3 linked regions of the Saccharomyces cerevisiae S288C genome follow. The protein of the gene in region 3 purifies or fractionates together with the protein of the main gene of each other region. This does not show direct contact. Each region holds a gene or a part of one and is shown on either strand. Other genes may lie near its edges.

What was found.
Region 1: the proteins of UTP23 (region 3) and ATP25 purify together in Saccharomyces cerevisiae (affinity purification with mass spectrometry, with the first as the bait; one large-scale study listed by BioGRID). This does not show direct contact.
Region 2: the proteins of UTP23 (region 3) and NOP9 purify together in Saccharomyces cerevisiae (affinity purification with mass spectrometry, with the first as the bait; one large-scale study listed by BioGRID). This does not show direct contact.

The regions. Positions count from the first base shown.
Region 1 is NC_001145.3:460,967-464,725, forward strand, and holds the start of ATP25 (Atp25p), read right to left. Parts: upstream 1,644-3,759; coding exon 1-1,643. Other genes in the region: YMR099C (glucose-6-phosphate 1-epimerase), read right to left, coding at 2,968-3,759. UniProt on the Saccharomyces cerevisiae protein: mRNA stabilization factor specific for the 0.95 kb OLI1 mRNA. Also involved in OLI1 ring formation.
Region 2 is NC_001142.9:417,821-421,579, forward strand, and holds the start of NOP9 (RNA-binding RNA processing protein NOP9), read right to left. Parts: upstream 1,743-3,759; coding exon 1-1,742. Other genes in the region: chaperonin-containing T-complex subunit CCT8, read right to left, coding at 2,137-3,759. UniProt on the Saccharomyces cerevisiae protein: RNA-binding nucleolar protein required for pre-rRNA processing. Component of the 90S pre-ribosome involved in production of 18S rRNA and assembly of small ribosomal subunit. Component of the pre-40S ribosome required for release from the nucleolus.
Region 3 is NC_001147.6:331,433-334,856, reverse strand, and holds UTP23 (rRNA-binding ribosome biosynthesis protein UTP23), read right to left. Parts: upstream 1,266-3,424; coding exon 501-1,265; downstream 1-500. Other genes in the region: DNA ligase (ATP) DNL4, read left to right, coding at 1-348; putative subtilisin-like protease YSP3, read right to left, coding at 1,966-3,402. UniProt on the Saccharomyces cerevisiae protein: Involved in rRNA-processing and ribosome biogenesis.

The sequences.
Region 1 (3,759 bases), on a different chromosome or scaffold from region 3:
ATAAATTCATTCCAGGGCCTTTTGTCCTGACCTTCCCCTTCCGTTGGTGTGATAGCTTCCCAGACTTGAAGTAGCTTATTCCAGTCTTTGATTTTGGCCAAGTTTTGCAATATTGAGACAATCATGCCTGAAGTCAACTTATCTCCAAATGTTTGGAAAATGTGGTCTATTGTCTCGTAGAGTGATCTCAATTTTACCCGTTCATCCGCGACCATGGAATTTAAAAGAAGGGATATTACCACTTCATCGTAAACAACTGAGCCATCGTCCTCTGTTTGTAGACCTTTAAATAGGTTCAAAGCTCTGATAATCACCCTATTTTGCTTTACTAGGTTAAAGTATGAATGACTAGAATGCTGCGTTTTCAAAACCATTTCTAAAAGAGCGATTAGATCTTCCCTTATTAACTCTTGCCCCAACGATTTTTTTAAAAGTAGATAATCCTTGAGGAAAACACGATCTGAATAAAATTGTGGGTCTGCTTTGTTTAGAAGTATCGCATATTCTAGTCGTAGTGGCCAATATGCAGCCGATTGATTTATGGTTAAAAAAGTTGAATGTTCGTCAAATAAGGACTTCCATTGAACAACATCTACTTTCCTCTCTTGTCCTACCAAATCCTTTAAAGTATTTTTAACATGCTCCAAAGTACGTATATTGTGAGTTTCAGTACCACTACTACTCTGAATTATCTTATTGGCTCCTTTGAAGTCTTCCTTTTGTAGAAAGTATCTTAAATTACTTAGCCCGTTTGGGTTGATAGTTGAATACCTTCTCCTTTGCTGGGCCAGTCTTCTTAGGCCTAAAAGAATATTATTGTTGCTTGAAATTTCATTTACCCCTGAAATAGTAGGGACATTACCTGAATCTATATTTTGGAACTTAGATTTCTCATTTTCAGGTGCATACAGCTCTTCTAAATTCAATTCATTACGCCTTCTCTGTGTCAAAATATTTACAAAAATACCATCGACACGACAATCAATCATATACCAAGCCTCACTATTTAAGTCTTTTGCAGAGCATTCAGAGCTTCTACCTAATAGTTTACTAAGGTTGGATTTTCTTGCTAATCTTCTTTTTCTTCTACTTTCTTGTCGCTCATTAAAGTTTCCTTCAACGTATGCACTACTACAGAATTCGTGCTTCAAAAACTTGTTCAACTCTAAGAAACTTTTATGACAATGTTTGGTAGATCTTGCTGTACATATGACCATGAAGTCACCCAACTTATTAACGGCTGAAACAGAGTTTGGGCTTTTCTTCCGTAAATCGAAAACCAGGAAGTCATCCAGACCAAGTTTACCAGTTAGGAGGTCTGCTATTTTTCTTAATGAGTTTGGAGAGGTTTTAGGTATCTCCAATTCTTTGTTCATCGTGTGGTGGTTATTTTTCTTACCTTCCATTAGTTCCTTTTCATTGTCAACAATCCTGAGGTACCAAGGTGTTTCCAGAGGGGTAAAAGTAGACTTTTTGGATACACGACTTTGTTCATGACTGTCATTTTTGCCCTTTGTCGAGTAATAAACTGCTGTGATGTGACTATGAAGAAAATAAGGGCCCTTTTTGAATAATATGGTAAAAGGAATATTGGCCACGCCTATCCTCTTGCCATGGAAAGGTAGTAGACAGAATTTATTCATGTCAACAAACCTCAATTTTTGAATAAGCAGGCTATTACACTTAATCTTCACTTGGTGTCGATCTTTCTTAGTAGCTTAACTTGCTTTTTTTTTTTTTGGCTGAATGGTCCTCATTGTTTCTCTTTATCGGGATGAAAAGCATAATTATCAGAAGATTGCAAGTATATTAGAAGAGAGGTTAGAAAAAGATGTCAAGAAATACTAGTAAAAACAAATACCATTACTGTGTACTAGAGTACTATTTAAGAAAGACGGATTATTTCTAAAGTTACGATAGTTCGGATGATTGTGACCCCATTTCTAATAAAACCAATATTATCAGGTATATAGAAATGCTGCAGGATCTTTTCAAGCATATATGATACCACCAAAAAAGTGTAAAATCCCATATAATATAACGTTCTTCTATTTGTTTCGTACAGTTCGCTGATTGGTATTATTACATCAGGAATATTGTATGTTCGCTTCGTTAAAGTTTGATCGCTGTTTCCTATATGCGGCGTCTAATATATAGATGATGAGAATTTGACAAATAATGAGAATTGTTAGGATCCAATTATACTTAACAGCTATAATAATAGTACACAAAATATACTAAAAGTTCTCCTCGAGGATATAGGAACCCTCAAATGGAATCCATATTTCTACATAATAGTATTACGATTATTCTTCACTCTGTTTTACATGTTTCATTATCCTATTACATTATCAATCCTTGCATTTCAGCATCCTCTAACTTCGATGACAGCTTCTCATACCTTATGCCATCATCTAACACCGTATATCATAATATACTGGTAGTGTGACTACTAGTTGATAGACGATAGTTGATTTTTGATTTTTATTCCAACAGTCCTGATGATAAGTTACTGTCAAAGACATAATTATTATCAAAATATATGGTATTAGATGGACTGGTAAAAGTACAAAACTTCAGAAATTTGTCCGTGATAGTTTAATGGTCAGAATGGGCGCTTGTCGCGTGCCAGATCGGGGTTCAATTCCCCGTCGCGGAGATTTTTTTATCAGACCAGGTGGGTGTTGTTTGATCATCACAAAGTAGAATTCAGTGTCATTTTTAAAAACGTTACTTAATTTTACGATAATATGCTGCCAGAACAAGTTTAACAATACGCTTTTGGCAATTTGTTCTTGCTGCACTTGGAATTAAATAAGAGTCTTAGTAAACAGAATGTTGCTTTAGTTGTTCGTCAACAAAAACAAAGATAAAGGATGGAGGTAATCAAATAGCCCACATTAAGAAAAGTATACAACTGGGAATTTACTTTATAAAAATTACCGTTGCTACATTTTTTTATATTATTTATTGAATAGCTTGATATTTCAATTCTTCTTTGCAAAGTAATTGATAAGCATTCCATTTTTTACCAGGAGCCAAGGAAATAAAATCATGAACATGACCAGGTTCAATACATATCATTTGTTGGTAACCAGTTTTTGGTTCGAAATCGGCCATCCCTTGAGACTTCTCAATCCATGGATTCCAAACAACAGTGTCGGGCAAGTTGTATCTTTTTAGAGTGTGAATTTGAACGCCCTTGTCAACTATTTGAATGGCCCGTTCGGCGCTGACATTCTGATAAATTACATCGGTTTCTTGATTGAAGGTAACGACTGGGTGCTTGTCGACGTAGGATTCCTTCAACAGTTGGTCATAAAGTTTCATGCCAGCTAAATTAGAGACCATTGTTCCTTCAATATCTTCGATACGGAAGTATGTATGGAACAACCAGTTGAACTTTAATTCCTTGGAACTAGATGTGTTTTCTACTTCTATGGCAGTTTTCAAATAATCGGAGCCTAATTCAACAGTCAAAATCAAAAGATAATCCATTGGCCACAATTTGGTCAATTCTGGGTTAGCAATTTCTGGTTTCAAGCCAAATTGTACGGTCGGTGGGTTTTCCTTAGTTTGACCCAAAAACTCCCAAGTAGAATTTCTTGCAAGACCATGTTGAGGTAATTTACTCAAATGTTCATCGGTGCTATTTTTCCCGAATACAGGAAAGACCAAAGGTATACCACCTCTCACAGGTTTGCTACCATCCAATTTAGCAGCAGTAGACAACCACAACTGTTCTTCAGATTTCAATTT
Region 2 (3,759 bases), on a different chromosome or scaffold from region 3:
TATAATGTTAATTTTGCCGTAAATTCCCACAATTTGTCCATTATATGAGAGCCATATACATTGCATGCCAAATTTACAGACTCTTTAGACAGTATGTTCAATAGCATTTTTCTCTTAATTATGTCCACCCTAGTAGTTTGTAGTACGTGCTCAACAACATGCGAAAATACTCCATGGTAACACATTTGTATCAACCTTTCCTCAGGCAGAGCCAACATGCTGTCAATGGTAATATTCAAAAACTTGTCGTCGTAGTCAATTAATTGTTCCAAGAAAACTGATCGTCTTCTTTCTTCTGCTGTTGGCCAGTCATCTCTGGTATTGCCCAAAGTCGATGCACTCAACAACAGGCAACTTTCCAAAATATTCTTTGCATCAGACTTTTCTGGATAATATTTTTGTATTAATTGAGCAATGACATCATCCCTTAAGTAACCACCTTGTTTATTGCTTGCGTTGATAATAGCAGTACCAAAATCCATATTTGAGTTTAAAAGCATGCTTAATTCAGGAACTACTGCATCCAATATCTGTTTTACGTCCTTCTCCTTCAAATGTTCCAGCAATGCACGCACTACAAAGGCACCTGTAGTATCCCTTTTTGCTAGTTTCACAATACGGTCTTTCATATATAAACGATAAAGTCTTTCAACATATTTTAGCCTGGCAGAGCCAATCACATTTTCTAAGAAATGAGAACCGACAGGATCTGACAGTAAATATTCCAGGAATGATTCCTCCTTAGGATCCTTCTCATCTGCTGTATTGAAGACCAATCTCCAAAATGAACGGTCCCTGTCAAAAATACCTTCGACTTGAATAATGAGCTGAATTACAGGGGAAGCCACTTTATCCACACTGTACTCTCTAAATTTGGTGATAGTAGATTGCGAAATATCAGAACGCGACTCGGCACCATTAGTAAATCCTTTGTATAAAGTAGTTATTATGTCACGAAGTTCAGATTTGAAAGATTCCGGTGTTTGGTAAACTTTATTGAAATCGTCATTATCTTTAATGTCAATCATTTTTCTTGCAATTTTTGACTTTTTGGAACGTAAAGTAGAGTTCGCTTTAGTTGAATTAGGCAATGTCTTGGAAGACAAAATTAATATTAGCAATCTCAAAACATGTGATGCATACTGATGGTTCATCATAGTTTTCAAGTGCGGTTTCAGTTCATTCAACATAAAGAGAAACATATTTTCCATAGTCACATAAGGCCCTTCTTTTTCATTGTTATCAAAACTTGGTGTTAAAAGTTCTCTTTCTACCAAGGCGGCACTTCTAACAAATAAAGTCTCTAAAACATGGGAAGCATATTTATGACATGACAACCCGAAGAAAACGCCATTGAAAGATTGGAAAATGTCTTTTAACTGAGTCTCATCACATTCAAGAATAACTCGTTCCATCAATTTCGAAGTTATTTGGGAAGTAACCAATTTCAGTTCTTTACCTTTTGCTTCCTCAATAATGCTCGTGACGAATTGAAACTTTTCCTCAGGTGCTTCGAAGGCGTCTAATTGCAAAGTCGATTCGGCTTGCTTGAAATACTCCAGTTCTTCTCTATCTAGCACACCAAAAAACATTTGTGGCTGAGTCTCTTTAATTTCGGCTTCGTCATTGTAAGTAGACTCTTCTTGCTGGATGTGCTCCTTCGCAGAATTTGAACTGGGTTCAAATTCGTCCTTTCTCTGTTTGTCTTGGTGTCTTCTGCCTCTTGTTTTAGTCTTTCCCATAATAACAATAATGTGGTTTTTCCGTGAAGGTTTCAGCGTCGTTCACAGTATACTAGTTGTAACAGATCGCAGCTCATCTAATATAATTTTCTTCATTATATTGTAGATGAGCATGAAAATTCTCGCTAACCGAAAAAAAATTGAAAAAAAAAAAAGTATTACAATCATCGAACAAATATACAGGCCAAGAGTTCGTCGGTTTTGCAGGTTGCTTCTTGGTTAATGTATACAGTACATCTGCATTATCAAAAATTCAAACATTATATATATCTTTACTACTATACAGGTACACATGATACAGCCTAGCAAGTTTGAAAACTTGATTGCAATTTATGACATTATATTCTGCTGTTTGCAGGTATATCTACTTTGTAAGTATAAAGATGCAAACAAATCAGTCTTCTTGGTCCCAGTTACCTGGCCTTGGGCCTTGAGGTGCTCTTGGACCACCCGCCTTCTTTGCCATGATAATTTGGTCAATGGAAAGCACAGTAGTTGCAGCTTCTGTAGCGACGTTAATAGCAAACTTTTTCGTTGCAAGCATGTCATAAATATTTTCCTCTCTGATGTCCTTTACACCTTCATCAGATTCGCCATCAATATCCACACCTTTATATAAATGATCTGTCTTAACTGCACCAGGTTCAGTTACGTTATGTGCAGCGTATAAGTTTGGTAGTACCTCATTAACATCAAGACCAGCGGTCTCCGCTAGGGTACGAGGAACCACTTCAAAAGCCACGGCAAACTGTTTTATAGCTAACTGTAGCAATCCAGGTGTTCGTTCACCATACTTAGTTATCCTAGAAATCAATTCAATTTCGGTAGCACCAGCACCAGGCAACAACTTACCGCCTGATGGCTTCATTAGTCCCTTGACGGCTGCAACACCATCATCAATGGCTCTTTCAATATCATCCAAATTATTCTGTGTGGCACCTCTTAAAATGATAGTAGATGTTCTTGAAATTTCACCTTGCTCTTGTTTGAACACAGTTACTCTATCACCACCTATCTCCATTGTCTTAACAGTTTCCACTAAACCTAATTCTTCTGGAGTTGGCGCACCTAATCTAGGCAATGGAGTGGCCCCACAAACGCGACATAATCTTCTTAATTCGAATTTGCTTGGTACCTTCAAGACTAGTATACCGTATCTATTCAAATAATGTAACGCCAATTCACCAACACCAGCACCTGCAACAATGCATTCTACGCCCATGTCGGCAATCTCTTTCATCATGGCATCTATTTGCTTTTCCTCGCCCTTAGAAAAATCGAGCATTTCTTGTGCATTATGTAATAAAACAGTGCCTTTCGTTTCAGTATTGGCTATGTCAAGCGGACAAGTGAAAACTGCAACTTTATGCTTTTTATCTTCGGATAATGATTTTACATGGCCTTCAGGCTCACGATTGAAAACCATACCTTTGATGACGGTAGAATTGGAAAGCGATCCACCCATAATCTTTACTACTCTGATAGAATCAACATTAAAATAAGGAATTTCTCCAGCTTGCTGAGCAACTGGTAAAACGTGAGATACAGCTTCAGAAACAAGTTCACTCAATATGTCTTCAGATCCGTACTTTTTGGAGGAGATGACTGGTTTAATCATTTTCAAAAGTTCGTTTTTATCATTCTTGTCAGTAATTTCACCAACAACCATTTCGTCTAGTTCTTTCAAAGTAAACTTCCTTGCCATATTATAACCTTGAATAATCTCAACGGCAGACAAGCCCATTGAAATCAGTTTTTCGGACACATTTAATAGTTCGCCAGCCAAAATCATGACTAAATTTGTACCGTCTCCCATGTCGATCTTCTGTTGTTCAGTCGCCATTACGAGGACTTTCACTGCAGGATGGACAATATCTAGTTCTCTTAGCATGGTGGCCGCGTCGTTGGTAATAATGATTTTACCGAGATGGTTAACAATGATCTTGTTTCTACCACAGGGTCCCATAGAAGTCAAACACATTTGATGTAATTCGCGAATGGCCGCAATTGATTTAAT
Region 3 (3,424 bases):
GATTCTGAGGTTCGGCGGTTTCCATTATTTTTATTCTCCAACAGGATTGCATACGTACCACGTCGCAAAATTAGCACAGAAGATGACATTATAGAAATGAAAATTAAGTTGTTTGGTGGAAAAATAACAGATCAACAGTCACTTTGTAACTTAATAATTATACCATATACTGATCCTATTTTGAGGAAAGACTGCATGAATGAGGTACACGAAAAAATAAAAGAACAAATAAAGGCTTCTGATACTATACCGAAAATAGCCAGGGTCGTTGCCCCTGAATGGGTGGATCATTCTATTAATGAAAACTGTCAAGTGCCTGAAGAAGACTTCCCCGTAGTCAACTACTGATGGTGCGTTTTGCGGAGGCTTAATTTTTTGAAGTTTATTTAATACTATCCTACATATGTACATTAAATACTTCCGTAACGTTTATCAATAAGAGTGGAAGATGCGCAATTATATTCAAAAGATTGGCCAGTCAATTAACTTAAGGAAAAAATTTACTGCGCGGCTGTGGTCCCATTTGAAACGGGGACGTTAGTGTTGCTTTTGTGTTTCCTTCTTCTTCTTTTTTTCTTTTCTTTAGAAGTATCTTCTTTGTCTTTCACCTCATCGCTGGGCGAGTTGACTTTCTTCTTCTTCTTTACGCTCAAAGGATTAGGAGCCTTTGGACCAAGCTTTCTTTTCTTAGTGATAGATTCCTTTCCTGATCCATCACCACTTTCTTGAAGTTTTTCAATATTAGGATCATTGAGACCCTTATACAATTTTTGTTCTTCAGTAATCTTGCTTGCCTTGGCACTCGCCGTACTGAGAGGTTCCATAACCATAACAGACCTGGTTAAATGGATTAATGGAACACCCGGAACCGTCCTCAGCTTCCTCCTCAAATCTATGTCCTGAGAAGCAACCACATACCTGTGTTTATTTGCACCGCTAATATTAACGACGCTTTCGATGCACTCCGCAGGTGACTTTGGATCTTTAAAAGAGTGGTTACAACGACGTCTCTCAAATTGTTTCGCTAAATTAATTGCACCATCATTTCTAGTTTCATATAACGCTTGTATGCAACACTGTGTGATCATGACCTTTACGTCTGCTTGCAACGTTCTTTTCAACCCACTCGGTAGATTAAAATTAGAATTATTACATTCTAAAACAAGCTGATTATCAACCAAAACTTGATATGGCTCACGGAACTTAAATGTGTGACTGTAAACAAGAAGTTGTTTCCTATATGACTTAGCCCTCTTTTGACGCATGTTAGGTATATCGGGAGCGCTTACAATAGTTGGTTTTTATTATTGGATTGCTTCCCTTCTTGCTCATCACGATAATTATACTATTGTTTAATTGACATCTTGAAAATTTTTCTTCCCGAAGATCATCGCATCGCACCGCATGTATATTTTTTTTTTTTTCCTTAGTAAATGATAGAAATAATCAAAACAAGAAGATGCCTCTCATACATAGAATACATTATCGAGCCGAGATCACAATTGTAGACATTCAGTTGTAACTTGTACCTATGATCTGAGGTAGTTTTTAAAAGGAAAAACACTGCATTGCTCGGTTGCTTTGGACGGTGACAGAGGAAGATAAAAATAGTTTCACACCCTTTAAAAGATTTCAATGATTCTGACGGTAAACCCTTTTATCTGTTGAAGGATAGTTTTGAAACCTATTTAAAGTGGTTGTCGTATTTTATTTACCTCCTTAACCCTTATCTAGCAGTGACTAGTATAAATTCGTAAAAAAACTATTCACAACCAAAAGAACTGCATCGCGAACAAAAGTTTATCTTTACTACTAATTTATTATGTATATTATTGAAAGAATTTAACCTACTCGTAGGAACAAAAAGCCGATTAGCGATTTCAAACGTCTTTCTTAGGCTTATGCTGACCTGTATGAAAAGAATAAAATAAAATCTCCTGGGTGCTCCTAAATTCAAAATCAAAGCTACCAAAAACCATCCAATTTCTTACCTCCCCCATTATATATTAATTTGTTAGGAGTATCATCACCGATATCACCCAGTACTCCCTGTGTACTAAATTTTAGGACTTTTTCTTTCAATTCTTGAGGTGAGGGAGCGTCGTTGAAAAATTCACTGTCTGGTGCAGGCTGTAATGATAAAAAGTAACTTAAAATACCAGCAACGTGCGGGGACGCCATGGAAGTACCTGATAAACTTAAAGTTGCATTCCTTGAACCAATATAGGTGGACATAATATTTATACCGGGAGCAAACACATCAACACATGTGCCCCAGTTCGAAAAGAATGCTCTATCATCACTAAATGTCGAAGCACCGACCGTAATACTTTTTTCAGCTCCTGCTGGTGAACTGAGACAAGCATCTTCATCCTCATTTCCTGCCGCAATAGCAAAATGGACACCGCTATCTACAGCTGCATTTACAGCCATTTCCATAGCTAGCGATTTGCTACTTCCCAAAGAAAGATTGGCAGTCGATCCTTTGAATTCTTTATTCTTTTTCTTCGACGATTCTATATGCTCCTTAGTAACATACTCTATACCTTTAATAACATCTGAAACCGTCCCTTCCCCATTAGAACGAAGAACTTTGACAGCTACTATTTTTGTATTTTTGGCTACACCAAAGTGCTTCGATCCGATAATCCCCGCACAGTGAGTTCCATGACCATTCAAATCAGAAGCTTCATCGTTTGCTGGTATAACGGCTCCCCACTCAGCACGCCCTTCAAAGTCCTCGTGCTCGGTATCAATTCCTGTGTCGAGTACATATGATGTGACACCTTTTCCGGCGGCATCTTCATATAAATATTCCAAATCTTGTCCATATTTTGGTTTCTCCCTGTGCGAAACTCTATGTAAACCCCAAGGCGCTTCTTCCTGCAATGACGAATTAGATATTTTTACTGTAGTTTCTTGCTCTACGAACTTTATGATTGGGTCCTGGGAGATTATTTTAATGATTTCATCAGTGAAATAGCCAGTATAACCTCGAAATAGACCATTTATGTCAAAAAAATTATCAATACCTCCAAATTGAGATTTAGATGATACTGAAGAAGAAATTACCCTCCAAAAAGCGTCATTTTCTGTAAGCTTACCTACTGAGGTACTATGATCCTTCTGTACCACTTGCATATGCGATTGAATCTGCTGGAGGGAAATATCTTCATTAAAGACTATGACATACCGATAAGGAAGAAACTCTGTTTTATGAGCGACATGTTGATGTTCAGTGTGAAAATTTCCAGGATCATGCTGTCCCAAACCTTCTCCTGCTCTTACACTGCGAGTACCATCAATATTCTCAATAAAACGAACTATCCCGTCGAAATCAGGGATGATCATACAAAGACAGCAATTTGCCCAAAGTATAGGTAAGATGGTAGAGAATTTCATGTTTAAAGATATAAAGTGGTTG